Linked DNA regions of Arabidopsis thaliana. The protein of the gene in region 1 interacts with the protein of each later gene in a pairwise test. Each region holds a gene or a part of one and is shown in the gene's direction. Other genes may lie near its edges.

Region 1 (7,791 bases):
AGTCCACGTGGCGGAAATGTCAATCAAAGTGACGTTGCTATGTTCTTCTGGGCAACGTAATGACGAAAGAAGATATTTGTAGAATCCAGTTAAGGGAAGACACGTGTCTACATTCATGAATCGATTTCGGTTAGTAGATCACGACTGTCTCACCGCCCCAACGGTCTGTAGCAAAATTTATAAGGGCGGTTTGTGACGACACGTGTCTACTATCATTCCGTTGCTTACTATTGGTTCGATGTTACCCACAGGTTAAAACTTAAAAGGCTTAAAGCTACTTTTGTGTCTTCGTTTCGTCTACGACTTGGTTTCCTTTTATAGAAACTGACTTAAATTATGTTTTATTTTCATGTAACCAACTAAAAGACCCAGTAAAGTAATCCGATCGTTACAAGTAAATCGACACGTTGAATGCAAATTTTTGGTTTAGGGTTTTCTAATTTTGCTTAGAAAAGGTACTAATCAAAATAAAACTGTATCTAGCATGAATTAGTATGATGCAACTCTTTCGTTAGTTTTTTTTTTTTTTGTGAAGTCTCTTTCGTTAGTTTTGGTTTGCTTTTATTCTCTCCTTTTAATAGTTAGGAAGAAATCCATTATATCTGCCATGTTAATTGCAGTCGTAAGTAAATTTCAAACTTAATCATGGTCATTGTTTTTATTTGGTTGTCCAATATCGATCCTATGTATATCCAACTATATATTAAGATATCATGTGATAAAAAAATAAAAATAAAAATTGTAGGAACGGTACTTTAATTTGGGAACAAGAACAAAGAAATTGTGATATTTCTTTACATTTTGAATTCTCTAAGTTAAGTTTTAAGTTTTCTAATTTATTGGTTTGGATTCTTTTTCTATGTTCTGATTTTATTATTATGATTCTCCTTAATTCGCTCGGAGATTGAAGAGTGAATGTGCATACAATCTACTTAAAAACCAATCCCCCAATTGTATCCCTCCTTTTAATTTGGTTTCTGAAAAAAATTGTGAAAAAATAATGAGAAATGCATTAAAACCAAAACCATAGAAAATGCAATGATTCACAACGAGAGTCTCAAAAGTCATAACTACGCTAACGGCCACTTGTCACTTGACCAATAATTTGAAACGAAAAAAGAAAAACCATAACTTGTTGCTATATGCCAAAAGTAGTATTGCTTCTTCTCTGCTACTTGCAAATTAATTACATCGTTATATACATACCATTGATTAGACTATTAAATTTTTACAATCGGCAAAATCTAGAGTATCTAATAATGTTTTGTGTATAGAATCTGTAAATATTTGTTTAGTATAATGTAACAGGATAATTCTCATTCGATATAAAAAACTACATATATATTAGTTGTTTTAGGCCATCTCCATCAGTATTTCTGAATGAGAAACTTAATAATAAAATAAGAACAAAAAAGTGAAAAAGTAGGATAGAGAGGGAGAAGAGTACCTCACTTGAGAAACTAAGAGAATCGTTTTTCTGACAGAATCGCCACATGTCAATCAAATATTAGTTTAACTATTACAATTTAAATAAAATATATTATATAATTAAAATAATATTTTTTTTTTTTTTTGAGAAACTAGGAAGAGAATCTTCCCGATGCAGATGCTCTTATGTAAAGAGATGTATATGTATATTATTTATTTGTGGCTCTATGATAAACTAGGAGTAGAAATTTTGATTTATGGCTTGGTTTGGTTTTAAATTGATATTTTTTTGGTTTTCTCTTTTTTTTTTTTTTATAGAATTTGATATTTGATATCTAGAGTCTAGACCTTGATGTAAAAGAAATTGGAAATTTGATTCCCTTTTGTTTAAGACTTGAAGTAGTGTGTAATTCAAACCAAACAAAATAGTTTTCGTTGTTAAATGAAGAAAGCCCATTAAAAATGAAAAGGCCTCAACAAAAGAAAAGCCCATTTAAAATCTTCCAATTTCTCTCTCTCTCTCTCTCTCTTCTCTATGTCGTCCCCTTCCTCTAGTTCCTCTCAGTCTCCTTCGCTTTAAACCTCTCAACGAATTTATTTCCGAGTGATTGATTACTGAATGATGCGAAGACTCGTCTCTTACTTTGTTCGTTCTAGATTCTCCTTGCATCTATCCACAACACCACCTCAAAGGTCCGCACTTTTCTCTCATATATTGAGTTCTCATCTAGATTCTATTCAAATCAACAAAAAAATCTCATCTTTCTCTGTGCATCGATTCTGTTCCACGACTTTGTTAAACCCAGAACTAGAAATTACCCGTATAGAGAAAGTTTCCGAAGATCAATCATTGGTTTATTGCAATGAAAATGATATTAGAACAAAGGGTTCTAATCATGCGGTTGGAATCTTACACGAAGCTATAATGGCGAATTTGAATGCGTATGATGATATGGAAAAAGCCCTTGATGAATCTAGTGTAGATTTAACAACTCCTGTGGTGTGTAAGATCTTACAAAGGCTTCAATACGAAGAAAAGACGGCTTTTCGGTTCTTCACTTGGGCTGGACATCAAGAACATTACTCACATGAGCCTATTGCTTATAATGAGATGATTGATATATTGTCAAGTACTAAGTATAAGAATAAGCAGTTTAGGATTGTGATTGATATGCTTGATTACATGAAGAGAAACAACAAAACCGTTGTTCTTGTTGATGTTCTATTGGAGATTCTCAGGAAGTATTGTGAGAGGTACTTGACTCATGTTCAGAAATTTGCCAAGAGGAAACGGATTAGAGTGAAGACGCAGCCTGAGATTAATGCTTTCAATATGCTTCTTGATGCTCTGTGTAAGTGTGGTTTGGTTAAGGAGGGTGAAGCTTTGCTTAGAAGGATGAGGCATAGAGTTAAACCTGATGCGAATACGTTTAATGTCTTGTTCTTTGGGTGGTGTAGGGTGAGAGACCCTAAAAAGGCAATGAAGCTGCTTGAAGAGATGATTGAAGCTGGACATAAGCCGGAAAATTTCACTTATTGTGCTGCTATTGATACTTTCTGTCAAGCTGGAATGGTGGATGAGGCAGCTGATTTGTTTGACTTTATGATAACCAAAGGCTCTGCTGTTTCTGCTCCAACCGCAAAGACTTTTGCTTTAATGATTGTGGCGTTGGCAAAGAATGATAAGGCAGAAGAATGCTTTGAGCTAATTGGGCGTATGATAAGCACGGGTTGCCTTCCTGATGTCTCGACATATAAGGATGTAATTGAAGGTATGTGTATGGCTGAAAAGGTAGATGAAGCGTACAAGTTCCTGGATGAGATGAGTAATAAAGGTTACCCGCCTGATATAGTCACATACAATTGCTTTCTTAGGGTATTGTGTGAGAATAGAAAGACCGATGAAGCACTTAAACTTTATGGAAGAATGGTAGAGTCGCGTTGTGCTCCTAGCGTCCAAACATACAACATGCTGATATCTATGTTTTTCGAAATGGATGATCCTGATGGAGCATTCAATACATGGACTGAAATGGATAAAAGAGACTGTGTTCAGGACGTTGAAACATACTGTGCTATGATCAATGGGCTTTTCGACTGTCACAGAGCTAAAGAGGCGTGTTTTCTACTGGAAGAGGTTGTGAACAAAGGACTCAAACTGCCATATCGAGTGTTTGACTCTTTCTTGATGCGTCTATCGGAAGTTGGTAACCTCAAGGCAATTCATAAGGTTTCTGAACATATGAAAAAGTTTTACAACCATAGTATGGCTAGGCGTTTTGCACTCAGTGAGAAGAGAAAGAGTACAAAACTCAGAGGGAAGTAATGTGAACTGAAAACTGTTGGACCATATCATCATACTAAAACAAAGAACCATTTTCAGTGGTGCGATGATTCTGTTGCCTAGAGAGGAGCTCTTCGTGACTATGATCCCTGGTGAAATTTCATCCATCACAGTCTCTCTAATTCTGGACCAATAAGCATGGTTTCGAAAGCAAAGATACCTATCCAGGTCTATTGTCTAATGGTTATGTTGGTTTCTTTGAAAAGGCTCTCACAGCTCACAATATGTTTAACGTGTTCGTTTAAAGTCATTGTATTGACCATTGCATACATAGAGATAGAGCCGAACTTTGTATGATCCTTAGCAATGTGAGAGGCTTGTTTTCCTTATGGTTCATGACTATTATGGTTTATCTTCTGCTCTTGCTCTCTGATTCTCGAGTTTGATGTGAGATTCTTGAAACATTATGATGCTAGAACAGTGTCGGTTCATCGTTCAGTTCTGGTAACAGGTTCAAGTCTCAGGAACTCTTGCTGAAGAAGTCTAAAGACATGACACAGTTGGTCTGTCAGCCTTTGGTGATGAAGTACCCATACAGTTGTAAAATAAAAAGCCCACTGGTATATAATATTTGACCGGTTTAGTGTAATCAGGATCCGGTTTAGTTGAAATAGGTCATTTTGCGACGAAAATAGGTTAAGTTTAGTTATGATAGGTTCGAAAGTCGAAACTGAAGAAGGCTTCTCTCCTAACTACCGATAGAACAAATGAAGTTGATTATTGGCTTTCTTTCCCAACTAACTCTCTGTTTTATTTTATTTTCCTACTAAACTTTACCAGCAATTATTTTGGTTTTTGCTTACAGATTTTTTTTTTTTGAAGAAATGTTCTAATTAGTCCCACGGAACATTCAATGTAACTGATTCTGTTTTTAGTCCTGAATGTCCGAAACCTATAAAGTTCCGTTTTGGACAAGAGAGACGTGCTTGGAGACCAAATATTTGACCACCTTTTTTATTTGTTTACGACTAAAATGATTGACCACATGAGAATAAAATTTTTGCTAATATATTTCATCACTTGATTCAATTGTATACACCTTCTATTTTATTTACAGTTTATAAGAAAATACCCATTGTAAAATTGCAAAGAAAAAGTTAGTTGTATTGTCTCCACTTTGGACGATATATTCCTAATTAAGGCTTAGAAAAAACGTTGATTAGGTCTGAAAATATTTATCTTTAATTATTATGGACGATATTTGATACATGAAATAAATTTTTGTCAGTGTAGGATATCGATATTTATTATATGTGAATACGTAGCTTGCCAAGATTACAGAAACGTAGATGAGTATTGGTGGCTTGAAGTAGCGGGTGTAGGTTAGAACTTAGAAACAACAAACCTTAAATTAATACTATACGAAGAGACGTTGAGAGGCTAACGAAATCCTGCCCACACCAAGCAATCTCTAGTCTATGCTCTTATTTTCTACGATATTATATATTCTATAATTATTATAACTAAATAAAATCCTAGTTGTAAAATAAAGGAAAGAAAAAGGTAGATTACGTAGAAGGGGGTGTTTTGTTGGTTAGGGAAGACGTTGGCATCAGTCGCCGGTAGAGAGGTCCGTCCAAACCCTCCCGACTCTCTAACGGATTTTGTTTTATTTTATTTTAATTTTCATCATATAAAATGTATATATATATATATATATATATATTTTCTTTTGGTAAAGACATAAAATGTATATTAGACGAAAAAAAAGAAGAAGACATAAAATGTATATTATATATATACTCGCAATAATATAGACTATGTATATATATACGTGCAGGTGCTCTTCAGCTTTCTTCTTGTTCCCACATACCCATCTTCCCCAACCTTTTCCCAAGAAAAAAAAAACTTAGGGTTTTAATTTCTTATATATGTACATAAAATACATGAACACAACAAATTTTTTGCGTGCGTTATTGATATAGAATCTGTGTGTTTTTCTTTTTCTTTGTTCTTGTATTGGTTTGGATCGGTATACTTAGTTAATTACGTAATTAAATAGATCGGCGTGAAGAAGAAAAATGATCATGTGCAGCCGAGGCCATTGGAGACCAGCTGAAGACGAGAAGCTCAAGGATCTTGTCGAACAATACGGTCCTCACAATTGGAACGCCATTGCTCTCAAGCTTCCTGGTCGCTCTGGTAATTGATATCTTCTAGGGTTTGTCCATATATACAAAACTAGCTAGGGTTAATTTTGATACTTTGATATATATATACATATGAATTAATTGTATTGGTGTATATATGCAGGTAAGAGTTGTAGATTGAGATGGTTTAATCAATTGGATCCAAGGATCAACCGAAACCCTTTCACGGAAGAAGAAGAAGAAAGACTTTTAGCGGCTCATCGGATCCATGGGAACAGATGGTCCATCATCGCAAGGCTTTTCCCTGGAAGAACTGATAACGCCGTCAAGAACCATTGGCACGTCATCATGGCTCGTCGCACACGCCAAACCTCTAAGCCTCGTCTTCTTCCCTCGACGACTTCGTCTTCTTCTTTAATGGCGAGTGAACAAATCATGATGAGTTCTGGTGGTTATAATCATAATTATAGTTCCGATGATCGGAAGAAAATATTTCCAGCAGACTTTATAAATTTCCCTTACAAATTCTCTCATATCAATCATCTTCACTTCCTAAAGGAGTTTTTCACCGGAAAGATCGCTTTAAATCACAAAGGTAAACTCAAAATGATGGAGAAGGATCCATTTTCTATAGATGTGTTTGCATGTATATGAGTCTTGCACGGATTATTGATGAAAAAGGTATATATGTTCCAAAATTTTGAAATGAAGTTTAGCCGAATTTTTTTACTTTTCAAAGAGTTTAGCCGACTTTTTCATTTGCATAATCATTTTTCTAATGAACTTCAAAATTATGTGACAAAATTAGTTGCATGTTTTTTCTTGTACTCATCATCATATATTGTTTCCGTCATTACATGAAGTCATCTCTATATATTTAACATAGTTGCAATCCACATAGCTTATAATTTCGTCCTTCTTTTATCGTTTGGATCGCAGCAAATCAGAGTAAAAAGCCTATGGAGTTCTACAATTTTCTACAAGTAAACACAGATTCAAACAAGAGCGAGATTATAGATCAAGATTCAGGTCAAAGCAAACGCAGTGACTCGGACACCAAACATGAAAGTCATGTTCCATTCTTCGACTTTTTATCCGTTGGAAACTCTGCCTCCTAGGATTAGTTTTTTTGCAGTAACTCCTAAATTTCTAGATTAACTATTTAGTCCGTATACGTACGAGATTATCTAGGTCGTTAGCATGTATGCTTGATGTGTATAATCACTAACTAGTGAGCTATTACCTGCGAAAATTGTAAGAAAAATACATAATGTTGATGTATCACACATTCTCAATGTCTGTAAAATTTCCATCGAGTTGTTAACTATCAAAGTTATCCGTTTGAATGTATTTGTTTAATTTGTCTTGAATGAGATGAATAACATGTTTAAATGTTTAATTCTGTTACCAACAATTTAATTATATATATATAACGATTAATTGCTAGTTTGTTTCTTATTAAATTTGTATCATATTTATTCAACGTTCAAACAAATCACCGTTCAATTGTTTATGCATAACCCGATCATGAACTCGACCTCGAGAGGCCACAATATTATCAAAATTTGAAAGTATATATGTACAGTTGAAATCTTATATCGTTGAGATTATAACATGAAAAAAATCCAATGTTTGATGAAGAAGCAAAAGGTGTTGGAAAACTCTTTTTACTTCTTACTTTCCTTAATCGTTTTCTTACAACAACACAACCATTATGTAGTTCTTGTACTTAATCTAATTAGAAATTTGTTAATAACCAAGACCCACCCTTAATTGGGCCTTGTTCACCTCTGGGCCCAATGGCCTTTTTCTCTCTTTTCCTTCACTCTTCTTCTTCTTCTTCTTCTTCTTCTTCTTCTTCTTCTTCTTCTTCTTCCTCGTGCATACCTTGCTGTAGTTCCCTCTTTTCCTTCACTTGCTCCCTCATAG
Region 2 (7,066 bases), on another chromosome or scaffold:
CATTTTGTGGAATTAGTTGCGTAGTGCCAAAAATTAGCAACATTCAAACCATATAACTGAAATGACAAGAGTCACCAGTAAGTACTTGTGGTTTTATGTTTGTGAGATTTTTGATCTTCCGACATAATATACAAAAAGGCAAACAAACTTGATAATATTTTGTTTTCTTTCAGTTTTCGAAATTAAAATAACCAAATTTTGTCAACATAGATTAGATTCTCTTGTACCAAGAACATAAAAATGCATAGATAACACCAAAAGATACTGCATGTGTGTATGCAAGCTGAGGAACAATGTCTCTGATGAAACCTCCAAAGTCCATGTTGAATTAACTCCAATCCATTTTAATATATAATATAATCATATATATATATATATATGACTAAATGTTTTTATATGATTAAAACTACATTTGTTCTATAGAATATTAGTCTTGTTGTGACCTTTTGTTGAGGATTCAATGGACCCTCCATATTTGCATGTGACTGAGTGTGGAATGGGACGAGAGAATGGCGGTCTTTGATATGGACGTCACCTTATTATTTCACATTTATCTACAAATTTAATCACATGTATAGTTAATTATATTGTTTGGGTCACAATATTTTTTGGAATTAAAATAAGTAGTAATTATCTTTCATTTTACCAAAACAAATTACATATTTTTTTTTAATTTTTGTAACTGAAATTATATATATCAACAATCTCGATATGAAACTATTAGCTAATGTTTATGCCCTCCAATCTTTGTATATATATCTATCTTAGGGGATCTTATTCAGTCATAATATTTAACCGAATATGAGTTCAATCGTAATCTATCGTTGTTCATTCGGTATGGTTTCGCCTAATTTTAGAGTTAGAGCCAGCGCAAATAGTGTGACTAGAGAAAGTCATTTTCAATCATCTATGACATTTAAAGGACTCGTTTGACTTCACAAACAAGTGTTGGAGGAAGTTGTTGTTTGGTTAATGGTTTTAATATCGATGATCATAAAACATAAAGAAGTGACCTTGAATAGTTACTCTTCAAACTAACTGATCTGAAATGTGTATGCTAACATATAAGTAACTAGAATGCAACGCACAAAACTATATGTTCGCGGTTAAAAAAAACAAAACTATATGTTAGAACCGAGAAAGTATATATTATATGAGTGTGATTATTTAAAATAATTTTTAAAATAGATTGATTTTGGTATATATAGTTAATTTACAGCTGAATGAAAGAAAAGGACATGAATCACAATCAAAACCATTTCATCACCCATGTTTATCTATGTCGTTTTGGGTCCCATGTCACGCGTTTACGACCTAGGCCCTACTCATATTTATTCATAATTCTTGTCTGATTTTCCCATAACTTTGTATGTAGTCCCAAAACACTAATTGTTAAATGTTTTCCTTTTTTATGGTTAAAGATAATTGTATATATTCGAGTTTCTCATTATCTCCAAGTCGACAAAAAAAAAAAAACAATTAAGATAAGTTATATAATATGAGTCACCAAACATATGATGAGCCTCTATGCTATAAAGACAAACAATCTAGACATAATTAACGAATGATCTAGTTGTTAAATTCATATTATAAGAGTTGCAAAACCGTAGCACATTTTGTGTGTGTAAATCTGACAAATTTGCTTCAATTACAATTTATAAGGATGATACCTTGTTTAATCTATTTTTTAATGAACATTGTGTATTTATTTTGTTGTTGTTCATTGCCATGCATTTGGGAGATAGATATTGAATACTTTTTCTCTTTCAGAGGTATGGTACTAGTTGAAACTTGGAAGATTAGTCATCACTACTCACACGTGCCAAAATAGTAGCAAAGAGACAAAATCCTCAATGCAACTTAAAATAAAAACAGTCTTTGTTATAGCTAGCTAGCTTCTCACCCTCACATGCTTTGCTATATTGTTTGATCGACCAATACAATTAAACCACGTATGAAACAAAGAATAGTTACCTAAGTAAAAGCGAATATGTTAGACATATCAAAATTATTTTTGTTTAATTAAAATTACAGTTGTAGTAATGTTGTTATTTCAAAGGTACATATATATTTCCATTATGTAACTTGCTGATATTAGCATTCAGTACCATCCTTCTTTTACTACACCACCGAGAGAGATAAGTTACTTTCTTTTTTTTCGTTTTCTTATGGACATGGATGCAAATATACAGACAAAAAAAAGCATATGTTGAATAATTATTAGGGTTAAGAATGATTATTAGTAGGGTGAAAATGATCAATTATTTGATAAAAAGTTAATGACCTTCTCTAGTTGTTTTTCTTGTCGTCATAATTGCGGTCTAGGATTCTTTCATCAATTTGATACTGGATTGAACTAATAATATTTGGCACTTGTTATTTTGATGTATCCATTCTACCTACACACTCTTTTGCCCAACATATTCTTCTATTACCTCTTATTCCAATTATAATTGACTCTAAAAGGATATAGTCTCAATTGGAGATTATTTTTTTTTTAAATATGCGTGCGACTGAATATGATCGACATAACCTTTACTTTTATTTGATGAAACTTTGTCGAACAAAAGATAAATTGGCAAACAAAAACATCCATATATAAACCCAAATAAGAAGTGGTTACTATGTGACATTCCCTATACAATTAACATATACTACTATCTAAAAATTGTAGATAAGTTTATGCAATATTATACTAATTCCCTCTCCAAGTTTCAGTAATGGGCATAATCACATATTTATTAATTATTAAACCTATGTTTTTAATTGAAAAATAATGTATTAGAGTTTTTTTTTTAATAGGTCGCAGACTCGTAGGTAAACTGTACACTCAGAAATCATGGGTATGATGACAATACATTAAGGTTTGTTTCAATAATAACAATACAAAATAATATTAAAGAAGGGAAAAGAGAAGATGATAATCGAAGATGGTTTTGGGTGTTTGATTGAGTCATTATCAAAGGCTCACATGGGTGAAGAATGGTGATGAAAGAGTCTCGCTAGTTATCAAACTATATATTTTCCAATTATTTATCGTTATTATTAATTAGTTGGGGAAAAATTTGGCAGTATCTATGATATAGAGACATGTTGTGATGATCAAACCCATGTGAAAATAGGTACAGTGGGTTTGAAGTTTCACCGCAGCCAAATCTCTTTGGATCCAACTTGTTCACAATGGGAAAATTAAAATAATTGATAAATATATATGCTATATACGTAGGGTTGTTATTATATTTAGAGCTATTTATTAGTTTTATCTTAAAAATACCCCATAACTTAGGATATTATAACTATAATTGTCTAAGTATAATATGTGTAACTTGGGACAAAAGGAAAAGAAAAAGGTTTGGATTAAATTATCTTAGGTTTGATTTCTAAACCGTTTTAATTAATTTATATTTGTTGATAAAAAATTAGCTTTTGTTACAGAAATAAATTCATATGAAACTATTGAACATTTGTAATTTTGTATTCTAACAAAAACTGTGATAAGTTTGTTAATTCATAATTTAAATTCTATTTTAACTTTTAGATAAATTACGATAATACTTTCCAAAAAATATCTCTAAATAAAAAAAACACTTTTCCGACAGTTTAGCATGTAGTTTCGAAGCTTTCAATTTTCACTATAATATGTGACAGAATTAGATAATCCATTTGCCCATGTCGCAGCAACTTCGAATACAACAAATGAAGTAAATTTAAGAATACTTTAAGTTAAATAAATTAATATAACTCTCTCTCTCACATCAAACAAAATCCATGAGATTTTCTGAGTCGTATTGGTAATGGTGTGGGTCCAATTTAGGACCAAATTGATTGCCAGTTTATTGCCAAAGAAAATTTTAACACAAAAACATTTCTCTCTCTCATGAAGCTAAAGCCAACACTACTTATATAGCTACCCTTCACTCTTCCAAAAACGCTCCTTCACTCTCATCATTCTTTCTTCTTTCAAAACATTTCCACAAACACACCAAACTCACCTGAAACCCTATTTCCATTTACCATTCACACTAATGGCACGACCACAACAACGCTTTCGAGGCGTTAGACAGAGGCATTGGGGCTCTTGGGTCTCCGAAATTCGTCACCCTCTCTTGTAAAAACTCTCCCTCATCATCCTCTCAAATTACGAAATTACCCTCGGTCGCTTTTTATTTGAGTAATGCTAAACTTTTTTGTTTTTTTTTTGTTTTTTTTAGGAAAACAAGAATCTGGCTAGGGACGTTTGAGACAGCGGAGGATGCAGCAAGGGCCTACGACGAGGCGGCTAGGCTAATGTGTGGCCCGAGAGCTCGTACTAATTTCCCATACAACCCTAATGCCATTCCTACTTCCTCTTCCAAGCTTCTATCAGCAACTCTTACCGCTAAACTCCACAAATGCTACATGGCTTCTCTTCAAATGACCAAGCAAACGCAAACACAAACGCAAACGCAGACCGCAAGATCACAATCCGCGGACAGTGACGGTGTGACGGCTAACGAAAGTCATTTGAACAGAGGAGTAACGGAGACGACAGAGATCAAGTGGGAAGATGGAAATGCGAATATGCAACAGAATTTTAGGCCATTGGAGGAAGATCATATCGAGCAAATGATTGAGGAGCTGCTTCACTACGGTTCCATTGAGCTTTGCTCTGTTTTACCAACTCAGACGCTGTGAGAAATGGCCTTGTCGTTTTAGCGTATTCTTTTCATTTTTATTTTTGTTTCCACAAAAACGGCGTCGTAAGTGATGAGAGTAGTAGTGAGAGAAGGCTAATTTCAAGACATTTTGATCTGAATTGGCCTCTTTTGAAACACTGATTCTAGTTTCTATAAGAGCAATCGATCATATGCTATGTTATGTATAGTATTATAAAAAAATGTTATTTTCTGATTTTTCTCCATGTAAACCAATTGAACACTTGAAACCAAAAACTAAAAATTACACATGTGTTCGTGTGTGAAAAAGTGGGAATTTAATGTAGTGAAAAGATACAACAATGAGAAGAAAGATATCTAAAGTAGTGAAGAGAGATGAGAGTTTGAATATTTTGAGTTAGCTTTTGGTTTTGTTCCATGCATGTTCTAATTTTTCAACGGTGGGCCTTCATTTTTTTATTTTTATTTTTGGTAATTTGGGATTGCTGCTAAGTAGAAAAAGAGTGTCCCTAGCTGTGGCTTGACGACCATAAAATCCAACTTTTTAATTAGAGGGATTTGTGTTTTCTAGCACCTTATATTAAAATAGAAAAAATAATTTAGCTACATAAAATAGGTGTTTGACTGCAATTACTCTGTTTCCTTAGAACACTCTGTTCTTCGAACAGTCCAAACCTATTATTTATTTGTTTTGTTTGTAATGCGAATAAAAGGAAACTAGTGTTTTCCGACCACTACTTTAACTTTTGTAACAAAATATGATTTACATTTACTACCTTAAGGTTGAATACGAAAATAAAAATATTCTCTAGCAAAGAATGGAAAACATAACATGAGCAGGCTTTAATATATCCTTGACGATCGGTTGATTCTTCTTGCATACATATACGCGATAATATAATATCAGTTGTTAGCAACAAGCCAAAATAGCTAAATAATGGCAATTCAATATGGTTAAAGCTCGTTGCGATATAACCAGTACACATGCAATGCATCTAAATTGCAGCAGACAAATGATTTGACGTTAGGAATTATTTGGATTTAAAGATTTTCTTGCCACCTTAATTATTTGCATGCAATAGATGATTTATTTTTCGACACAATAAATTTGATAATCCTTATAGGTTTTTTTCTTTCTTAAACAACAAATCTGATCATTCTCAAATTAACTTGCTATATTACTCAAATTACAAGCACAAAATTGCATGACCACTTATATTTGATAAGGTTTCTTTTCAAATCGTGAAAAACTATTTTCTATTAAATCTACAGATGATTTCTTTGCATGGTACAGATAATTTGTTTGTAGACATAGATTTCATTATTCTCAAGTTTAAGATGACAGAATCTCAATTATTTCTCAAATATTGTTTTGTTATCATACATAAATTCTACAATTTAATTCCAAAAGTAAATTTTTGAGGTGAAAGAAATACAGTTTTTAAAGATGTTCCAAACTATTTAACTCAAAGTTCCGTAGGAATGCATGCGATCACAGTTGATTTGGTAACAAGTGGAAATTGACTACGTGACTATGTATATTCTCCGAGATCCATTAACAACAAATAAAGTAAAAGAAGAAAATAACCAGTTATATGAGACAAAATGTGTCAAAACAATATTATTTGATACACATTAGAATCTCAACGTGATATTATTTTTTTGGATCGAGGTCTCTATCGAATAAACCTTATAATGATTATTCGACGTACCTGTTTGGAAATTGATTTTGTTTCCCCACAAACTTTCTAAAAAAGTAAGAAAATAAAGAAGAGGGAATTATAAAAGTATAGTTTTATCTCATTATTCTGTTTTTTTAAAGCATTTTGAAGCAGCAAAGGAGAGAATTTAAAATAATGGGCATGCTTGTGAGTTCTTCATCATTACTTCTTTGAACTTCTGTGACCCTTTTTTCCTTTAAGGATGGTTTTATATTGCCCCAATAAAAATTTCACTGCACTCACCAAATAAAGAATAAATGGGTAAAAAGTAGCGATTCAGATTCACATGAAAATGTATGTTTTCCATTCTTTTTATAGAATATTTATTTTCGTATTCAACTCGTGTTAGTAAACTGTAAATTTATTTTGTTCACCCGATCGAGTTTTACCAAAAGTAGTGCACACCTATATGTATGGTTTTTGTTCTTGAGCTTATTTCTAAAACATCTTTAGTTAATGTGAAGTTGTGCATTTGGTTTACTTAATATTTTATAGAGATTATGAGTTTGAACATGTTTAAGTTGATTATCTTCATTTTTTCAAAAAGAGTTGATTATCGATATTCCTGCTAAAGAACAGAAGAGCCGGTTGGGAACTTCGATAGTTGGATCCAATATTCAGTGTAATTTCAATAATCGGAGTATACAATTTTTTTAATTTGAATTCTTTTAGATAAAGAAATTTAAGGTT
Region 3 (9,682 bases), on another chromosome or scaffold:
TTGTTTTCTTAGTTATCTTATGCGTATTTTGAGTCTAATTAGTCAATACATGTTCTATCTGTAAGAAATGGGCTATATAGAGTAGTATTAAAAAAAAAACTAAATCATTTTTAGGGTGATTAAAGATACATTTATATTTCGTATTTTATCTTTAAAATATCAGTTTGTAAGATCTAGGAAAAATTGATAATGACAATAAATATGCATGTTTTTATATAAAATAGCAAAGATAAAATTTATGTTGGTAATGTTTAACATTTGTCAAAAGAACTGTAAATACTTTCAAAATAACGATTTTTTTATTGGAAAAATTGAACCTTTATACCTCAGAAAAAACAAAAACAATATAATTCCACATATGAAATATTGCTCCCTATATAACTGTGGGCAACAATAATATATGAATTTAATTTTTTAAATTAATACATAATTTTTACTGTAGATGATTTATGTTAATTAAAGGAGATGGTTGGTTGGTGGTCTTTTCAAAAATGGAATAATCACAGTTTCTAACTGTTAATAAGAATGCAATAAAGTTCTAAAAGATACTAATTCAACAATAACATCAACTAGATATGTTTTATCTAGGTTGTCAATTTCTTTTGTTCAGTTTAATAATCATTTTATATAAACAAAATCACAATATCCTTATGAATGTAAAATCTTTAAAATAGTCTTAGGTTTTCAACTTTCTACCATCACTGTAATTTAAATTCAAGTTTTCATAATTCAAAAAAATAAGTTATGAAAACAATGATTATTTTCCTAAAATTATATTTAGCGTGAAAATCGCCAAAATGTCAATACATAAAAATTAAAAAAAAACTGAAATTCAATTTCTACATATATTTACTTATAAGTAGATCTATCGATCTGTTTAGGTACTTAATAATAAAAAATATTTTGGTTCACCGCTAAAAATAAACTAAAATGTTCACCTCCTTTTATTCATGCTAATAAGAATTTACCATCTAATCAAAAACTTAAACTTATTTAACTATTAAAATTCATATGTCACCAAAACAAAATTATGTATCAGTTTGGATTGATAGAATTAGAATTTAGATTTTATAATTAAATAAAATTATATATCAGTTTAGGTTTATTAAAGTGTGGTTAGAAATTAAATTTTATAATAAAATAAATTTATTTATTTATTAGATAACAGGTTTTGATTGATAAAATAAAATAGGGTGAACAAAATAGTTAATTGTGACAATTTAGATAAAAACCCGAAACATAAAACCTACACGAACACAGATGATGATTATAGATAGACACATGCACGCACGTGGGCTGAAGCAGGAGGAACAGTAATAGGTGTAGTCAGTCATTTTTTTCACTTCATTGCACTGCCAAATCTTTTGATCACTGTTAATCGTTGAATAAAAACATCCAACGCATAAGTCAATCCCCTACTCTCACTTCCACTGCCTCTCTTTCTTTCTTTCTTTTTTTTTCGTTTTCCACTCATTAACCATTACTTACTGACTCGTAGTTCTATTTTGGCCATTTATTACCGTCAGTTCTTGTAACCTGGCCAATTTGCAAATATGTACTTTATTTCTAGATTTGATTAGCTTATCATCTCCTTTTATTTTCTTAACATTTGACCATTGATTGAAAATGATTGATAAGTAGCTATGTTGTATTTAGAGATTAGTTTAATTAGTGTATCTCTTGAGTGTTTTATTGCAGGTTTAGATAACCTCATACAAGTCGTTACATAGTTATGAGTAAATGAGTTTATTAATAAATTTAGAGAACAATCTATGCCTACCGGTGAATTTTTATATAATAAATTGAATGTTTTATTTTATTGTTATAATTGACTTTCTAATCTAAAAGATAGAATTCTATGAAATTGTACACACTTTTGAAAACAATTTTTTTTTTAATAGAAAATTATAAGAAATTAGATCCATATGGTTATGGGTATTATAATATTTTTATTTATATATATATATATATATATATATATATATATTCTTCTTGCATGACCATATTAATGAGAATATTGGGATCAGAGACTTATTTATAGTGTGTTTTTAGTCTATTGCACTTGTGTTTTGGAATATTATGATATTTAATTCAAAGATGTACCCTTAATGAATGATCTTTTATGATGTCAATGTTTCAGCATCTTATACTGAAACAGAAAATAAGAGGAGGTCTTAAAGGAAAAGAAAACATTTCGAATGCAAAAATTTAACCTTTAACATTTTCGATTTTTTTTAATGAAATTCTAATAATATTGGTTCTAAGCAGCTGATTTTATTTTTTTAATAGTAAGAAATAATATATGTATACATATATATTTAAATATTTACTATCAAAATTTCCGGCATAGCAAGTCATAATTTGTAAGAAATCTTACATTTTGTTGTTTACAAACTCTCACAAGTCACAATGTAAGTTTCGGTCTAGTGCAGTGATGAGGTAAACAAAAAAAAAAATCTATCGATGAGCCAACTTTTTGATCTAGAGCCCTAGGATTTGACGATTTATATATAAATAAAACCCTAGGATTTTCGTTTCTTTTTGTATAAAAATGAATTCATAGGCACTCTATACGTCTCATGAATCATGAAATATAAATCGAGATTAAATAGAAAATTGAATGTTGACCGTGGAACAGAACAAGTGTTGAAAGAAGTGTGTTTGCAGCATGGTCTTATCATAGAGCCAATAGTTGGAAATTAGCAGAATATCGTATAATATCCACTATCCTGTAAAGCATTTTTATAATTCCTTTTTTTTTTCTCGGTTTCTAATGTAATCTTCTATCCGATAACAAATATTCGGATAGTGTGATCTCTCCACTAATATACATACGAAATTACGAAAACTAAAATTATAATTTCATCGATTTGATTAAACTCCAAAAACATCCAAGTCTTGCATCAAATATGTACATTTCTATCATATTGTTTATAATTCTTTTTTTGTTATCCGTAAGTTTTAGGCAGAAACCCGTACAGTGAAACCGAGGACCAGAACAAGATAAACGTAGTCCCCTCTCCTAAGTATAGAATTATAATGTGACACATGATCACAATTTGTTGAACGAACTCTATGTTCAACCACTAGACTACAAATTCTTGGGTTTATATCGTATTAGAAGTATATATAAATCATACATATTTTTTTTAAAACTTTTTTCTTGACTATTCTTTTAAGAAAAAAAAACATTTCATTACTAGAAAATAGTACAAAATATATCATTCAACCTAGCAAGAAACCATAGCCTGAAGTAGCCGCGAAGACCTAGTTGCTTAAACACTGAGTGGTTCATCTTAATTCGAATATTATAAACCACATTTTAATTAAGTAAATTACTTAGTCTTGTTCTAATGTATAAAATAGCCTATGAGAGGAAAACAGAAGAGAGAAGCCTTTGCCTTATCTCTTGTCCCTTCTCTCTTACCTTTATTTTAATTTTCAAATATTTCTTTTTGCTCCCAAAGCAAACGACGTCTTGTCAATCCACTCAAGCCACCCAACTTCTTCATTATTGTTAATCTCTCTCTCTCTCTCTTTCTCTCTTCTTCTCTCTTTCTCTTTTTTTTTTTTTTATTTTCTTCTCTTCCATGTCACTTCCTTGACGAATTCTATATACCTAGTTCGTTTTTTCTTCCTCAAATATATCTTTTTCAATTTATTTGGTTTTTCTTTGGGTGCAACTTCACCTCACAAAATTTTCTCTCTTTTTTTATATTAATTTGAGTTAGGCCTTTTTGATTTCATAGATGAGTCGTCTAGTCGTCTGGATTTGATGTGGTTATAGTCTTACAGAGACCTTTGATTGAAATAAGAACAAAAGCAAGAATACATACATCCTCTTCATCTTACACCCATCCTTTTTTATTTTTCTAGGGTTTTATTTTTTTTTAATTTATTTTTTTTCTTTGATTTTTATATTCTCTCTCTCTCTCAAATCTTTACTCATCTGGGTATGGAAGAATACCAGCATGACAACAGCACCACTCCTCAAAGAGTAAGTTTCTTGTACTCTCCAATCTCTTCTTCCAACAAAAACGATAACACAAGTGATACCAACAACAACAACAACAATAATAATAGTAGCAATTATGGTCCTGGTTACAATAATACTAACAACAACAATCATCACCACCAACACATGTTGTTTCCACATATGAGCTCTCTTCTCCCTCAAACAACCGAGAATTGCTTCCGATCTGATCATGATCAACCCAACAACAACAACAACCCATCTGTTAAATCTGAAGCTAGCTCCTCAAGAATCAATCATTACTCCATGTTAATGAGAGCCATCCACAATACTCAAGAAGCTAACAACAACAACAATGACAACGTAAGCGATGTTGAAGCCATGAAGGCTAAAATCATTGCTCATCCTCACTACTCTACCCTCCTACAAGCTTACTTGGACTGCCAAAAGGTTTGGTTTTATTCTTATTGTTATGTTATAATATATACTCTTTTTTTAAAGATATAATATATAGTTATGTGTGACATATATATGTATGTTCATGGGTCATGGTTTATATAGATTGGAGCTCCACCTGATGTGGTTGATAGAATTACGGCGGCACGGCAAGACTTTGAGGCTCGACAACAGCGGTCAACACCGTCTGTCTCTGCCTCCTCTAGAGACCCGGAGTTAGATCAATTCATGGTTCATTACTAACCAAAGTTGAATTTTAATTAAATGGGTCGGTTCTTTGTGTGTATATGTGTTAGAAGTCTTGATTTTCCTTTTTTATTTTTTGGTATGAATAGGAAGCATACTGTGACATGTTGGTTAAATATCGTGAGGAGCTAACAAGGCCCATTCAGGAAGCAATGGAGTTTATACGTCGTATTGAATCTCAGCTTAGCATGTTGTGTCAGAGTCCCATTCACATCCTCAACAATCCTGGTACATGTCATCAATCTCATATACATACATATATGCACATGTAAGAAATGGCTGGAGAAAACAAAGTGTAGTGGCAAGGTAGGGCTAATGATGGATTGCATAAATTGGCATGTTTCTTTGGTTCATGGTAAATTGTTGTAACATTGAGATATTAAAAAAAAAAAAAATCATAGTCTACATACATTTTCAAATGTTAATTAAGATTATAAGATAATTAAGATAATTGAGATGCATTATTGTTGGAAAGTATGTAAGATACAAATAGGTGTGCATATTTGTTCTTGTTTTCCCCATTGTGGAATCCATCCAAAGATGGGTGGGGCTTATTTTTGTTTTTTTTCTTTTCACTCGGCCCAAAAGTACTATCACAAGAACTTTTGGTGCTGCTCGTGAAGATTTATTTGGGACATTATCTTCTTCGATTTCGTTATGCTAAAACATCAAAATCTCTACTCGGATTAATTAGTCTAATCATAAAGGTAGATGACTAGAATGTTGTTAAATGACTAAACCATTTAACTTCATGAAATATATTATGTTGAAGCAGATGGGAAGAGTGACAATATGGGATCATCAGACGAAGAACAAGAGAATAACAGCGGAGGGGAAACAGAATTACCGGAAATAGACCCGAGGGCCGAAGATCGGGAACTCAAGAACCATTTGCTGAAGAAGTATAGTGGATACTTAAGCAGTTTGAAGCAAGAACTATCCAAGAAGAAAAAGAAAGGTAAACTTCCTAAAGAAGCACGGCAGAAGCTTCTCACGTGGTGGGAGTTGCATTACAAGTGGCCATATCCTTCTGTACGTATAAATTTTCTCTCATCTCTCTTTGCCCTCATATTTTTTAAAATATATACTACAAATTAAGTGTTTTAAAAACCTATCTTTAAGCTAGCAATTCCCTCTGAAGCCGCTATGTTAGGCCAAGTAGGTACTTGCATGACCGATTTTGTGTTTAAATCCTTGTACGGTTTCCAACAACATGGTTTTAAATCCGAATGCTCACAACACTAGAATTAGTCACTAGGATACATATCTTAGTCATGGTGTTCTAACCCTTAACATACTATTTTCTAACACGTATATCAATCACTTTTTTTTAAAAAATGTAAGTTTGTGATGAAATTTTTATCCATATATTTTGAAACAATTTAATTTTTTTTGTAGTTTTAATTAGTTTGAAATGAAATAACTAATCTAACCGACTGTAATGATAGTGAAAAAAACATGTTTAATATTGGTAAATATAAATGACATGTTGTTAAAAAGATAATAAGACAACATATAGTTAGTCGTTACTTGATGTCAAAGAAAAATGAAGTTAGTCATTTTACTTAGAGAATCGTTCAAAACAACAAACTTTAGGTCATTTTCCATTTTTATGTCTAGAATCATTTAAAAATAATTTTCGATTATCTCTAGCATTGCTTTTTATACATTGATTACTACATAAATGAAGATGGTTGGTTTGAGTTGTGTGGCAGGAGTCAGAGAAGGTAGCGTTGGCGGAATCAACGGGGTTAGATCAGAAACAAATCAACAATTGGTTCATAAACCAAAGAAAGCGTCACTGGAAACCATCTGAAGACATGCAGTTCATGGTGATGGATGGTCTGCAGCACCCGCACCACGCAGCTCTGTACATGGATGGTCATTACATGGGTGATGGACCTTATCGTCTCGGTCCATAAGACATCCAAAAGCTTTAGCCACATAATAACAACCTCTCGTTGCTTTCTTGTTACAACTCATGTTTTGAATTCCCCTACATCAGTTTGCTACTTATAGCTTTCTTTGTTTTCACGCCTTTTGTAATGTCTTATGTCGTTCGGGGAGTTTGAGACTTCCTAGTCAGAAATATCCCTTCATTTTATTTTCTCTTTTTTTCGGTGTATTTTGTTTTTTTGTTTTCTCACTAATGTTTTTATTTAATAATGTGTGAAAGGAAAATGCTATTCTGAAAAGGTGTTGCTCCATTTTTTTATTTTATATGGCATGAAATGTATGGTTTTGAAAGACAAAACCCAAATTGATCTAATGGATTCTTACATGCCTTTCCACAAGCTAAAACAAAATCCACAAAATGTAAAACATCGATAGTTGATAAGTCTCAAAACCATCTTTGCTTCGAACACGGTTTCAGGCATATATTATGACTTATGCGAAAGCATTACATCATAATACATAGGTCATGGAATCACTACCAGAAAAAAAAAAACTATTGTCGAAAGATTAAGTTAAAGATTCTCCCTTTGCACCCACTCGTCATCTGATGCGGACATCCAAATTAAACCAAACCGGGACCATACCAAATCAGCCGGTACATTTATCAAACCGATTGATGAAGAGCATTTTGGAGGACTCTTGCCCAATTGGAGTCTCAATCAAGCACAAGGCCTAGGGTTAATTATTCACCAGCAAATTAATTCTAAGAAGACTAATGATGATTCAAGAAGGGTCAAAGACCAGCGAGCCGAGTCACCATATTGTGGGGATATGACCGTTGCACTCTTTTTCCCTTATCTAGGGTTTGTCCCAATGGGTTTACCTAGAAAGGTTTTTAACGAGGCAACATCAAGTCATCAAGGAATCATTTACCAAGCAAATGATTCGAAGATATCAAAAGTACATATATTTGATGTACTTGCTAACAGACCGGCTGAACTACTTGCTGAAACTACCTTCTGAAGTACCGCACGAAATGAAGCCAAACAAGGAAATCTTCCTTATTCTACACTTGGACGCACCTCAAAGCTACATATGGAAACCAGGAGAACATCTAGACCACACAAGACTTATACCACACGAACTTTGGTACATCTTACCACACAAGAACCCGCTGAGCTACTACTTGCCATATATGGAGCCGAAGGAGATCGATTACCAACAACTCTTTCCTTCTTTGTTTGTGCGCTTATGTGAGAATCTTGAGACCCTCCAGAACCTTCCAAGACGTCACAACTTCCTCCCCAAGTTGACAAGATACAAGGCACATCTCACTTGCCTTATTTGGACATATTCTACAATTAATGTCCAATATTTTCATTTATGTTTTGTTTCTTTCATTAATGCCTTAGAACATTGTATTCAGCTCTATATAAGCTGATTTCTCATTCATTGTAAAGCAACCCTTGATCATTTTAAAGTAACAGAAACGTTTTCTTGTCAAAGTTGAGTCTTTGTCATTTGTTCTTTAGTTCTTTGTGAGTGAGTCATGAAGTACGTCAGGAATCTGCGGATTAAGTTTGTTGAGTGATTCAACATCCTTCATTCGTTCATTGATCGAGTGAGTCGATTACCCAACTGATTGAGCGAGTCAATCACCCAACTACCCATCAATTCCCCTTGAATCGATCCCACACGAGAGAAGCGATCGCCAGCGTGTTAGATCACCACCTTCATCATCCCACCTTCCGCGTGGCAAGTTTGGAACTCTTGCTCATCAAGTGATCAAAGGATGGATTAGCTCCAATTCTTGCATCATCATCCTTTTTTTTTTACTAATGTTTTTAAAGAGTTTTTTGCAAAACTAGTCATTTTTGAAAACTTAATTAAAAATATAGCATCAATCACGAATTGGTCAAGATTTTATGTTCTTTTATTATGTTCCAAGATGTATTTCATCTCTACTTCACTCTGATTACATTTAATCTAATTAATGAAAGTTGAGTTGAAATTTTTTTTTAAGAATATAACATCATATATATATATATATATATAAATTAAGAAAATTGCATGTGAAAGGTGAGAAAAAACAATTTTAGTGTAGAGTTGTTGGTGAGATGATTTAGTGACACTTAGTTTAGTTTTCAACTATTTGTATTTTGGGAAATTTGAGTGTATAACAAAAAAAAAACTTATATTAACTAACTAGCTATTCTAACTATAAGACTATAATATTCTATGTATAATCTATAATAATGCCATATTTGCCCCATGTTGTAGGATACATAGTTCTTTTATTTATTTTTTAATTTATTTTAAATATTTATCTTTCTTCTTCTTCTATTCTATCTTAACAAAACAAAAATTATAAGTATCCACCATCACGAAGTCATAATAATTATTTATCACTGTCACTGTCACAACCGTATCACCGCAACCACCTCGTCACCGTCACTATTAGTGCCACCACTATCACCGTTACCGTCAATATCACCACTACGGTTTACCTTGGTTGCTTGGATGCCAATGTTGTATCCCATAAAGTATAATTTTTTTGGATCGTATCGATTTAACTCCATCATTTATCATTATCACTGCCATAACCATATCATCGCAACCACCACCGTCAATGTCACCGTTAGTGCCACCACTACCATTAGCATCTACCACCAAGTCACCATGATCATTTATCACTGTTATTGCCACAATTGTATCGTCGCAACCACCACCGTCTACATCACCGTTAGTATCACCACTACCATTGTCGTCATCACCACCACCGCTACCGTCACCACTCACCACCACCACCACCGCTACTGTCAACGTCACCACTACGGTGTACCTCGGTTGCTTGGGTTGCCAATATTGTATTTTATAGGTTATAGTTTTTTTGGATCATATCGGTTTAACTCAATTCTTTGTCTACTGTTCGTTTTATACTATTTAGTTTCATTCTATATTATTGTATTTGTGTATTTTAGACAAATATTATTCATTATTTTAATAATTTGTATCAGATTTCAAAAATTTAAATCATGTTATACACACAAAAAAATCTATGTTTTACTAAAAATTGTTAAATGATTTAATCAGTTATTTTTATGAAACTAA
Region 4 (8,506 bases), on another chromosome or scaffold:
TCAACAACAGCTCTTTCTGATGCAGCATTTGCAGAAACAGCAGCAACAACAGGCGGCGATGTCGATGTTTCCGCCGAACGCTGACGCTCATCTCCGGCCACCGGGGTTGATTCCGAACCGACCCGTTAACCCGTTTCTTCAGAACGTGAACCCTAACCCTAATTTGATTCAACAAGCCAATAAATTTCAGCAACAGCAGCAGCAACAGATGATGATGATGATGCAACAACAACAACTACAACAACAACAACAGCAGAAATTGATGCGTCCATCGAATCAATTGGAGATACAATTCGCTTACCAAGACGCTTGGCGTGTTTGTCATCCTGATTTCAAACGACCTTTCGCTTCTCTCGAAGACGCTTGTGAAAGGTTCGTCTAATTCTGTTTTTCCCCCAATTGTTTTCTCATAGAATTGAATTGATTTTATGGATTGTTCTTAGAATTCTGGGTATAGTGATTACTTGAAATAGTTCTTTGACTGAATTGATCTCTCTGGTAGTCATTAGTTAATTGTATCATCTTTTCATCGTAAAGGCCAATGCTTTATTGGAGTTCTTCAACTTTTTTCTCGGGATTGCAGAAAAAAGTTTTCTATTTTGAATTCCATGTGACATTGTATATGTTGTTGATCCATATATGAAATGTTTATAAAATGTGGAATTTCACTATTTCTTTGTGACATTTACAATTTTCTCTGTGATTTCACTATTTTTTTTTGCAGATTGTTACCTTATCATGTTGTAGCAGATTACGAAGCAGAAGAAGATGATAGTATCTTTGATTCAAACACAACAAGCCAGACGCTACCCCGCTGTCAGCAATGGGACAACAACATTGCAGCCAAAGTTGCAGAATTCACGGCGACATTTGAGGGACAAGTCCAAGCTTTCGACAGGATAATTCAAAAGAGAAGCGATGGAGACAGAGTTGAGGAAAGGCTGATGATGGAACAAGTTTTGCTCAATGACGAGAGAAACGCATGTATCCAGCTGGATAGGGAGATGAAAGCTCAGGATGCGAGGTTAAGAATGGCGGCTTTGGCTCAAGCAGCAGGACAAGCAAGGGCAGAAGAGTCTCAACAGTCTCATGCCGAGATGATGGCTCGTAACCCGTTGAGAGCTAATGCGATTGGGAATCATGGAGAACAGGGGCGTAACATGAACCCTAATGAGATGATGTTGCTGATGAATGGATGGGGGAACAATAACAACAACAATAATAGCCAGAAGGAAGAGAAGGAACCATTAGAAGATTTCTTGAATGATGAAGAAAATGAAAATGGTGAACATGAGAAGTGGCGAAGAAGTGGGGATTTTGATTTGAATATTCGGTAAATGAAACCATGACTCAGATTTTCTTTTGGTTTGGTTATCCAAATACTCGTAGTTTGGTGATGTAGTTAAATCTTGAAAGGTAGTGAATAAGGTGAAAGATAAATTGACGATGATGAAGTGTTCTTTGAGGTGGACTAGTTTTGGCGAGTGAGCATGACGCGCTTCAGTTTCGATTCTCTCATCTTATGAATTTTAAAAGAGGGATCCTAAATAAAAAGTAACAAATAATGTAAACCACAAAAGCAAAACAGGCCAATTTAGACACAAGTTACATCAAATGACTAAAAATGGAAAAGCATGCACCATGTGACTTCTAACACAACAACGAATATCATTTTCTTGTAGCTGCGATTGGGACCATACCTATATACAATCCCCACAACATTTTTCTATAATTTATTTTCTTATATTCCAAAAGGATCTTTTACGGTTTCCAAACGATACCACTATTCGAAAAAACCTTAATTATTATGCATGATGATGATGTGTGTATGTAAAACTGCTGAAAGATATATGCAATAAATTAATGAAAGTAACCTTATGTTGTGGACGTCTCGTAGGCTATGTCTTCCTCTACGTGGCACATGAGAAGTTGCTCATGTGTCCCCCTCAAATACTTGAGCTGTAGACTGTAGTTTTATCTCAGTGAAACAATACATAGCTAAAAACATATTTGTTTATCATTATGGTAAAAAAGAATTCACATCACCAGAATGTTAGAACTTGGTCAAGAAAAAAGAGAGTAATAGTTGAATCATATTTGTGTCTGATTATACTTTTCTTATGGACCAATAAAATAATTAGTTATCTAATGTTGTCTCAGTTTAATATGATCTCTAAAAACTGATTACTCTATGACATTAAACCTGCTGGTAACAAAAAATTGTTTGCTTTGAAAATTTGTATTTTTATCCAAACACTAACAACTTAGGATTCTTGCTTCATGATTATACACTTTCGACTGAGGAAAAGATTATATACTTTCTACCAAGATATGAGAAAATCAAATTTGTATAATTCAATATTTTCAGTTGTCATTAGAAAAGAGTTGATTATCAAATGTCAATTATTTAGTGAAAAAATAAACATTATCCAACATAAGGAAAAAAACTACACTTAAGTGCCATTATCTTAACACGCATTTGGTGCCGTTTGGGTTTAAGAACAACGAAGTCGTAAGCGAGAATATGACAATATTCAATGGCATTTAAGAACAATTAAGTCGTGATCGTCTATAAGACTATGACACTATCATTAAAAGACACTTTAATCACTTCACAACTTAAAAACATCTTACCAACAAATATGACGAAAGCACACTACAACCTAAAAGTTATAAAGTTCCATTGGTCAAAACTACTAAACAGATTTAGAAATCTCTACTAAACAGTTATAAAGAAAATTATCCATTACTACAAAAAAAAAGGAGTAAATTTCTTGGAGTTAGGAAAAAATGAAAGAGAGAAACAGATGCCAAACAATAGTGGCATGCTCTGATTCTTATCTCTTAAACACACTTCACAGTCACTTCTCTAATTGGACCTCTCTCTCACTCCCTCGTGCTTTATATATTGCTCCTCTCAGAATCTCCTTTCTTTCCACAAAAATTGTCTGTAACCAAATCACAACAAAGACCCACAAAATTCTTTTTTTTTTCTTTTTCAAATCCCATTAATAAAAACCTTACCAACCCATGAAGTAAAGTAAACTCCTTTCTTATAAACTCTCTTTTGTTCTTTTTTTTTCAACTTCATCAGTCTCTTAACTCACCATCACAAGAACAAGAAAGATGAAGAGAGGATACGGAGAAACATGGGATCCGCCACCAAAACCACTACCAGCTTCTCGTTCCGGAGAAGGTCCTTCAATGGCGGATAAGAAGAAGGCTGATGATGACAACAACAACAGCAACATGGATGATGAGCTTCTTGCTGTTCTTGGCTACAAGGTTCGATCTTCTGAGATGGCTGAAGTAGCACAGAAGCTTGAACAACTTGAGATGGTCTTGTCTAATGATGATGTTGGTTCTACTGTCTTAAACGACTCTGTTCATTATAACCCATCTGATCTCTCTAACTGGGTCGAGAGCATGCTTTCTGAGCTGAACAACCCGGCTTCTTCGGATCTTGACACGACCCGAAGTTGTGTGGATAGATCCGAATACGATCTCAGAGCAATTCCGGGTCTTTCTGCGTTTCCAAAGGAAGAGGAAGTCTTTGACGAGGAAGCTAGCAGCAAGAGGATCCGACTCGGATCGTGGTGCGAATCGTCGGACGAGTCAACTCGGTCCGTGGTGCTCGTTGACTCTCAGGAGACCGGAGTTAGACTTGTCCACGCACTAGTGGCGTGCGCTGAGGCGATTCACCAGGAGAATCTCAACTTAGCTGACGCGCTGGTGAAACGCGTGGGAACACTCGCGGGTTCTCAAGCTGGAGCTATGGGAAAAGTCGCTACGTATTTTGCTCAAGCCTTGGCTCGTCGTATTTACCGTGATTACACGGCGGAGACGGACGTTTGCGCGGCGGTGAACCCATCTTTCGAAGAGGTTTTGGAGATGCACTTTTACGAGTCTTGCCCTTACCTGAAGTTCGCTCATTTCACGGCGAACCAAGCGATTCTAGAAGCTGTTACGACGGCGCGTAGAGTTCACGTCATTGATTTAGGGCTTAATCAAGGGATGCAATGGCCTGCTTTAATGCAAGCTTTAGCTCTCCGACCCGGTGGACCTCCGTCGTTTCGTCTCACCGGAATCGGACCACCGCAGACGGAGAATTCAGATTCGCTTCAACAGTTAGGTTGGAAATTAGCTCAATTCGCTCAGAACATGGGCGTTGAATTCGAATTCAAAGGCTTAGCCGCTGAGAGTTTATCGGATCTTGAACCCGAAATGTTCGAAACCCGACCCGAATCTGAAACCTTAGTGGTTAATTCGGTATTTGAGCTCCACCGGTTATTAGCCCGATCCGGTTCAATCGAAAAGCTTCTCAATACGGTTAAAGCTATTAAACCGAGTATCGTAACGGTGGTTGAGCAAGAAGCGAACCACAACGGAATCGTCTTCCTCGATAGGTTCAACGAAGCGCTTCATTACTACTCGAGCTTGTTTGACTCGCTCGAAGACAGTTATAGTTTACCGAGTCAAGACCGAGTTATGTCAGAAGTGTACTTAGGGAGACAGATACTCAACGTTGTTGCGGCGGAAGGGTCCGATCGGGTCGAGCGGCACGAGACGGCTGCACAGTGGAGGATTCGGATGAAATCCGCTGGGTTTGACCCGATTCATCTCGGATCTAGCGCGTTTAAACAAGCGAGTATGCTTTTATCGCTTTACGCTACCGGAGATGGATACAGAGTTGAAGAAAATGACGGATGTTTAATGATAGGGTGGCAGACGCGACCACTCATCACAACCTCGGCGTGGAAACTCGCCTGAGTCGCGGCGGTAGAGATGACTCGCCTGAAACCGGGAAAAACAATAAATGTTTTAAAAAATTAGGAAAAGAGACCGTAACTTTAGTTATGTTTTTACTTTTTAACCCGAAGTTTTTGTGTGTTTAACCTTTTTGCCTAAATGTTTACAACTTTATCTTTTTGGACCTTGTGCGTATCTTTGAGAGTTAAGAGAACGAGTAAAAAATCTTGTATCGTAGATCGAGCTAAGTAGTTTTCAATAAATGGAAGGATAACGATTCTGTATGTTTTTTACTTGATCCAATATATATGAATTTATTTAAATGATTTTGTGTCATATATTTTTCAAATTTGGACAGTTTCGTTGATAACATGGGAAGTGAACGTGAGCGTTTCTGAAAAGGCGGATCCAAAATGTACTTTCAGTTTCGAGGACTGATGTCAGCCTTTGTTAAAAGATTTTCTTCGAAATATATTTTGGTACATTTTTGTTTTCGAAACAGATTGTTCTTTTCTCTCTCTTTATTATGGGTTTGATGAGGTAATATGGATGTCAAATTGATTTTGACGTACGTTATCAACTTTTAAAAATATGCGAGGTGAAATTATTCTACTTTTATGAGATCATAAGCCTCAAATTCAATGGTCTTCTACCTAAGAGTTGGTGGATCTAAATTTTGGGGGGTTTCAGTTTTGAAAACATATATGAAGTTATTCTTTCTGGAATTCAATCTAGACGTATAGTCAAGAAGGAAATTATAAAACGACATTAACGTAGGGATTTTGGTCGGATAGGTTCGGATTATATATAGAACACTCCAATGGCACAATAATATCATTGAAACCTTTTTTTAAAGTAAAAGCGATTCTATAAGTAATGCATGTACACACAAAAAGACTTTAAATTACAAAATGATTTTATTATGAACACTTTTGAGTAAAAAAAAAAAAAACCAGTCACTAAGAACCAAAGCGCCGGCAACTGGACTGGCATATATATATTCTTCAATCTTCATCACCCTTATTCGGAGTCAAACCACCGTTTTTATACTTGGAAGAAACCTAGGGATTGCGGTTTTCGATCACAGGTTATGGACGAACAAGAGTCGAGGCACGTTCTTGTAGATGTCTCAAGCTTTTTTCCATGCTAACTTGGACCATTTCAGCTAGCATCTTCTTTGCCTTACCGGATTGATCATCTCCGTCTATATGAGAGATTAAGCTTGACACTATGTTTTCTATTGTATCGGGTTGGACCTCTGATCTCGGACTTTCCGAGTTCCTTAGTAAACAGAGAAGTCTTTGAGCTTTAATCCGAGATTTCGATGTCCCCTGAACCGTGAGCTCAAGCAGTCCCGGTATTACACCTTCTCTAAGAATTGGCTCTCTGTATTTACTCCTATCGCTTTGGCAGAGCGTTAAAAGCACGCCAACGGCATGTTCCCGAGCTTGTAATGACCCGTTTTCAAGAACTTCCACGACCGCTAAAACTCCTCCTTCATCAGAAACTAACCCTGTTCTCGCCTCCTCACCAGAAACCATCAAGGCCTCTATTAGTGAACAACATTTCTCAGATGTTTTCGACGACTTTTTACTTGATTTGAGAAGATTCAGTATTGGTGAGAGTGGTTTAGTTGCTAGGATCATGCTTAGGTTATCGGGGAGTGTAGAGAGGTTGGAAAGAGCCATTACTGCATCAGCTTTAGCTTGTGGGCTTCCATGTTTAATGACCTTGACTAATAAAGGAACCACACCATTAGCTCCAATGATGGGTTTGTTGTTTGCTGACGCGGAGAGAGTGAGCAAAGATGCAGAAGCATACTCTTGAAGTGTTGGGCTATTTGATTGTAAGAAGTTGATGATTGGCTCTAAAGCACCGGCTTCAATTATACTCACTTTATTCCTAAAATTTGAAAAATTAGAAACAAAACTCAGAATAATAGTCTCAGAGGAGAATATTCATCGAAGACAATGACACATATGTTTCTAATCAAATAGGCAAAAATCAATCTTTCTTTCTCTAAGACTTTACTCTGCATTCAATTTAAAAGTCATATGAATTGTAATCAAGGGAAAATAGAGTTGAAGCCACCAACCTAACCTCTTAGGAAAACCAAGCAGACGTAATTTAATTAATGTTTATGGGACACCAAAATTAAAGTAGGAAAAGATATTTAATGAAAACAATAGTATAAGAGAGGAAAAGTGAAGCAAAAGAAAGGCGTGAGTCCTAGTATCTTTACTGTGCTAGCTCCATGTCTTCTCTCCACTAGATGGATCCCATTAATAAAAGAAAGTGATGATCTCAGAGTTTAGACCAAAAAATAAATTGACTACAAAGTCGTTTGCGTATAAACTAAGAAAGATTCAGTAGTAAGGAAAAAATATCACAAAAAATACTCAAGTCTGGTAAAGCAGGGACCCTACAGATGCGGAAAGAGCTAATAAATTAAGTTAGGCAAACTTATTAATACCTACCCCAAAGCAAAGAGTTAGTTAACTTCAGGTGATTTCCATCTATAAACTATCACTTAACTTTTAAATCATCCTCTGTTTTTAGTTTGACACAAATTTAAAGATGCACCACTTTGATGCATTGAGATTGGCTTGTTATTGTCCTCTCTTTCTGATGGAATATCAAAGGACGGGGGAATTTGCGGCCGGTTAACGTAGAGAAAGAAAGATTCTTTGTTTTAGTGTTATCTTGCTACTTGATTCTTTGCTTGCTAAAGGAATGTCAAGACTAGTGAAAAAAAGAAAAGAAAAAAGGAAAAGCTAAGCTAACATGACTCCTATCTTTTGTGTAGATCAATCAAAATTTCATCTACAACTAGAAACCAATCAACTCTCACAAAACATGACAACAGTAAAAGAATCAAGTCAGAATTCTTCAGAAATCGCATAACCAAAAGAATAATTTAAAAGTAAAGAAGAGTATCCCTGATGACGAAATATCCTGTTCCCTAAAAATGGATGAACCCTAGGAAAATTTTGAATCCCCAGTAACCAGAAATCCTTCAAATGTAAGCAAAAAGGATATAAAAGAGGAACACACAAATAAAAAAAAGCTTGAAGAAACATAGAGTACACTCCAAGCAAACAAAAAGCAATTACCAACAAAGTTGATTGATCCACCCAATCTTATTAAAGAAAAGTGATTAAAGCAGAAAACGAGATTGCTACGATCGATGTTATCCATTTCGATACAATTACCTAATCATCAACTTACACGAGACCGACCAAAAAGGAAAGAATTGTGACACCTATTGATTCAATCATGACTCCATTTTCTCACCGGAATGATAGAAGTAATGGAATCATCATCATGAGTTTTTCATAAACGTGTTTAAGTTCTTAAAACTCTCTATCTATCTTCTCCGAATTTTGATATCTAGTTTCTAATGAAATCACGTAATCTATTATATCCGATATGATTAATCTAACTAATCCCAAGCTAAGAAACCACCACTAATCAGATCAGTATACGAAAAACAGAACAAATTCGAAAAACAGAGAGGAGGAAGAAGACAACGTACTTTTCGTCTTTGACGGCGAGGTTAAGGAGAGCGAGTAAAGCAGCCTCGTGGTGAGATTCAGGCGAATCAAATCGGAGCATAGAAACGAGAGGTTCCACGGCTTGGGAAAAGTGTCGGCGGCACCTATGAGACGTCTTTGTCAGCCGACGGATCTCTTTAGCAGCAAACAGCCTCGAATCGCAATCCTCCGATCGGATTAAGCTCAGAACTCTCTGGATTGAA

Evidence for each region.
Region 2: the proteins of MYB54 (region 1) and ESE3 interact in binary tests that used the Arabidopsis thaliana proteins (3 or more experiments, as listed by UniProt).
Region 3: the proteins of MYB54 (region 1) and KNAT1 interact in binary tests that used the Arabidopsis thaliana proteins (3 or more experiments, as listed by UniProt).
Region 4: the proteins of MYB54 (region 1) and RGL2 interact in binary tests that used the Arabidopsis thaliana proteins (3 or more experiments, as listed by UniProt).

Annotation. Positions count from the first base shown.
Region 1 is NC_003070.9:27,596,059-27,603,849, forward strand, and holds MYB54 (myb domain protein 54), read left to right. Parts: upstream 1-5,534; 5' UTR 5,535-5,793; coding exon 5,794-5,914; intron 5,915-6,025; coding exon 6,026-6,457; coding exon of another isoform or gene 6,458-6,516; exon of another isoform or gene 6,517-6,801; coding exon 6,802-6,980; 3' UTR 6,981-7,259; downstream 7,260-7,791. Other genes in the region: AT1G73400 (Pentatricopeptide repeat (PPR) superfamily protein), read left to right, coding at 2,048-3,754. UniProt on the Arabidopsis thaliana protein: Transcription factor that regulates secondary cell wall (SCW) biosynthesis, especially in interfascicular and xylary fibers.
Region 2 is NC_003076.8:8,704,615-8,711,680, reverse strand, and holds ESE3 (Integrase-type DNA-binding superfamily protein), read left to right. Parts: upstream 1-3,795; 5' UTR 3,796-4,025; coding exon 4,026-4,108; intron 4,109-4,211; coding exon 4,212-4,674; 3' UTR 4,675-4,936; downstream 4,937-7,066.
Region 3 is NC_003075.7:5,144,884-5,154,565, reverse strand, and holds KNAT1 (homeobox knotted-like protein), read left to right. Parts: upstream 1-3,406; 5' UTR 3,407-3,955; coding exon 3,956-4,423; intron 4,424-4,534; coding exon 4,535-4,660; intron 4,661-4,764; coding exon 4,765-4,903; intron 4,904-5,450; coding exon 5,451-5,707; intron 5,708-6,390; coding exon 6,391-6,597; 3' UTR 6,598-6,867; downstream 6,868-9,682. UniProt on the Arabidopsis thaliana protein: May play a role in meristem function, and may be involved in maintaining cells in an undifferentiated, meristematic state, and its expression disappears at the same time the shoot apex undergoes the transition from vegetative to reproductive development.
Region 4 is NC_003074.8:815,900-824,405, reverse strand, and holds RGL2 (RGA-like 2), read left to right. Parts: upstream 1-2,753; 5' UTR 2,754-3,126; coding exon 3,127-4,770; 3' UTR 4,771-5,069; downstream 5,070-8,506. Other genes in the region: AT3G03460 (mediator of RNA polymerase II transcription subunit-like protein), read left to right, coding at 1-372, 725-1,337; AT3G03440 (ARM repeat superfamily protein), read right to left, coding at 5,838-6,651, 8,285-8,506.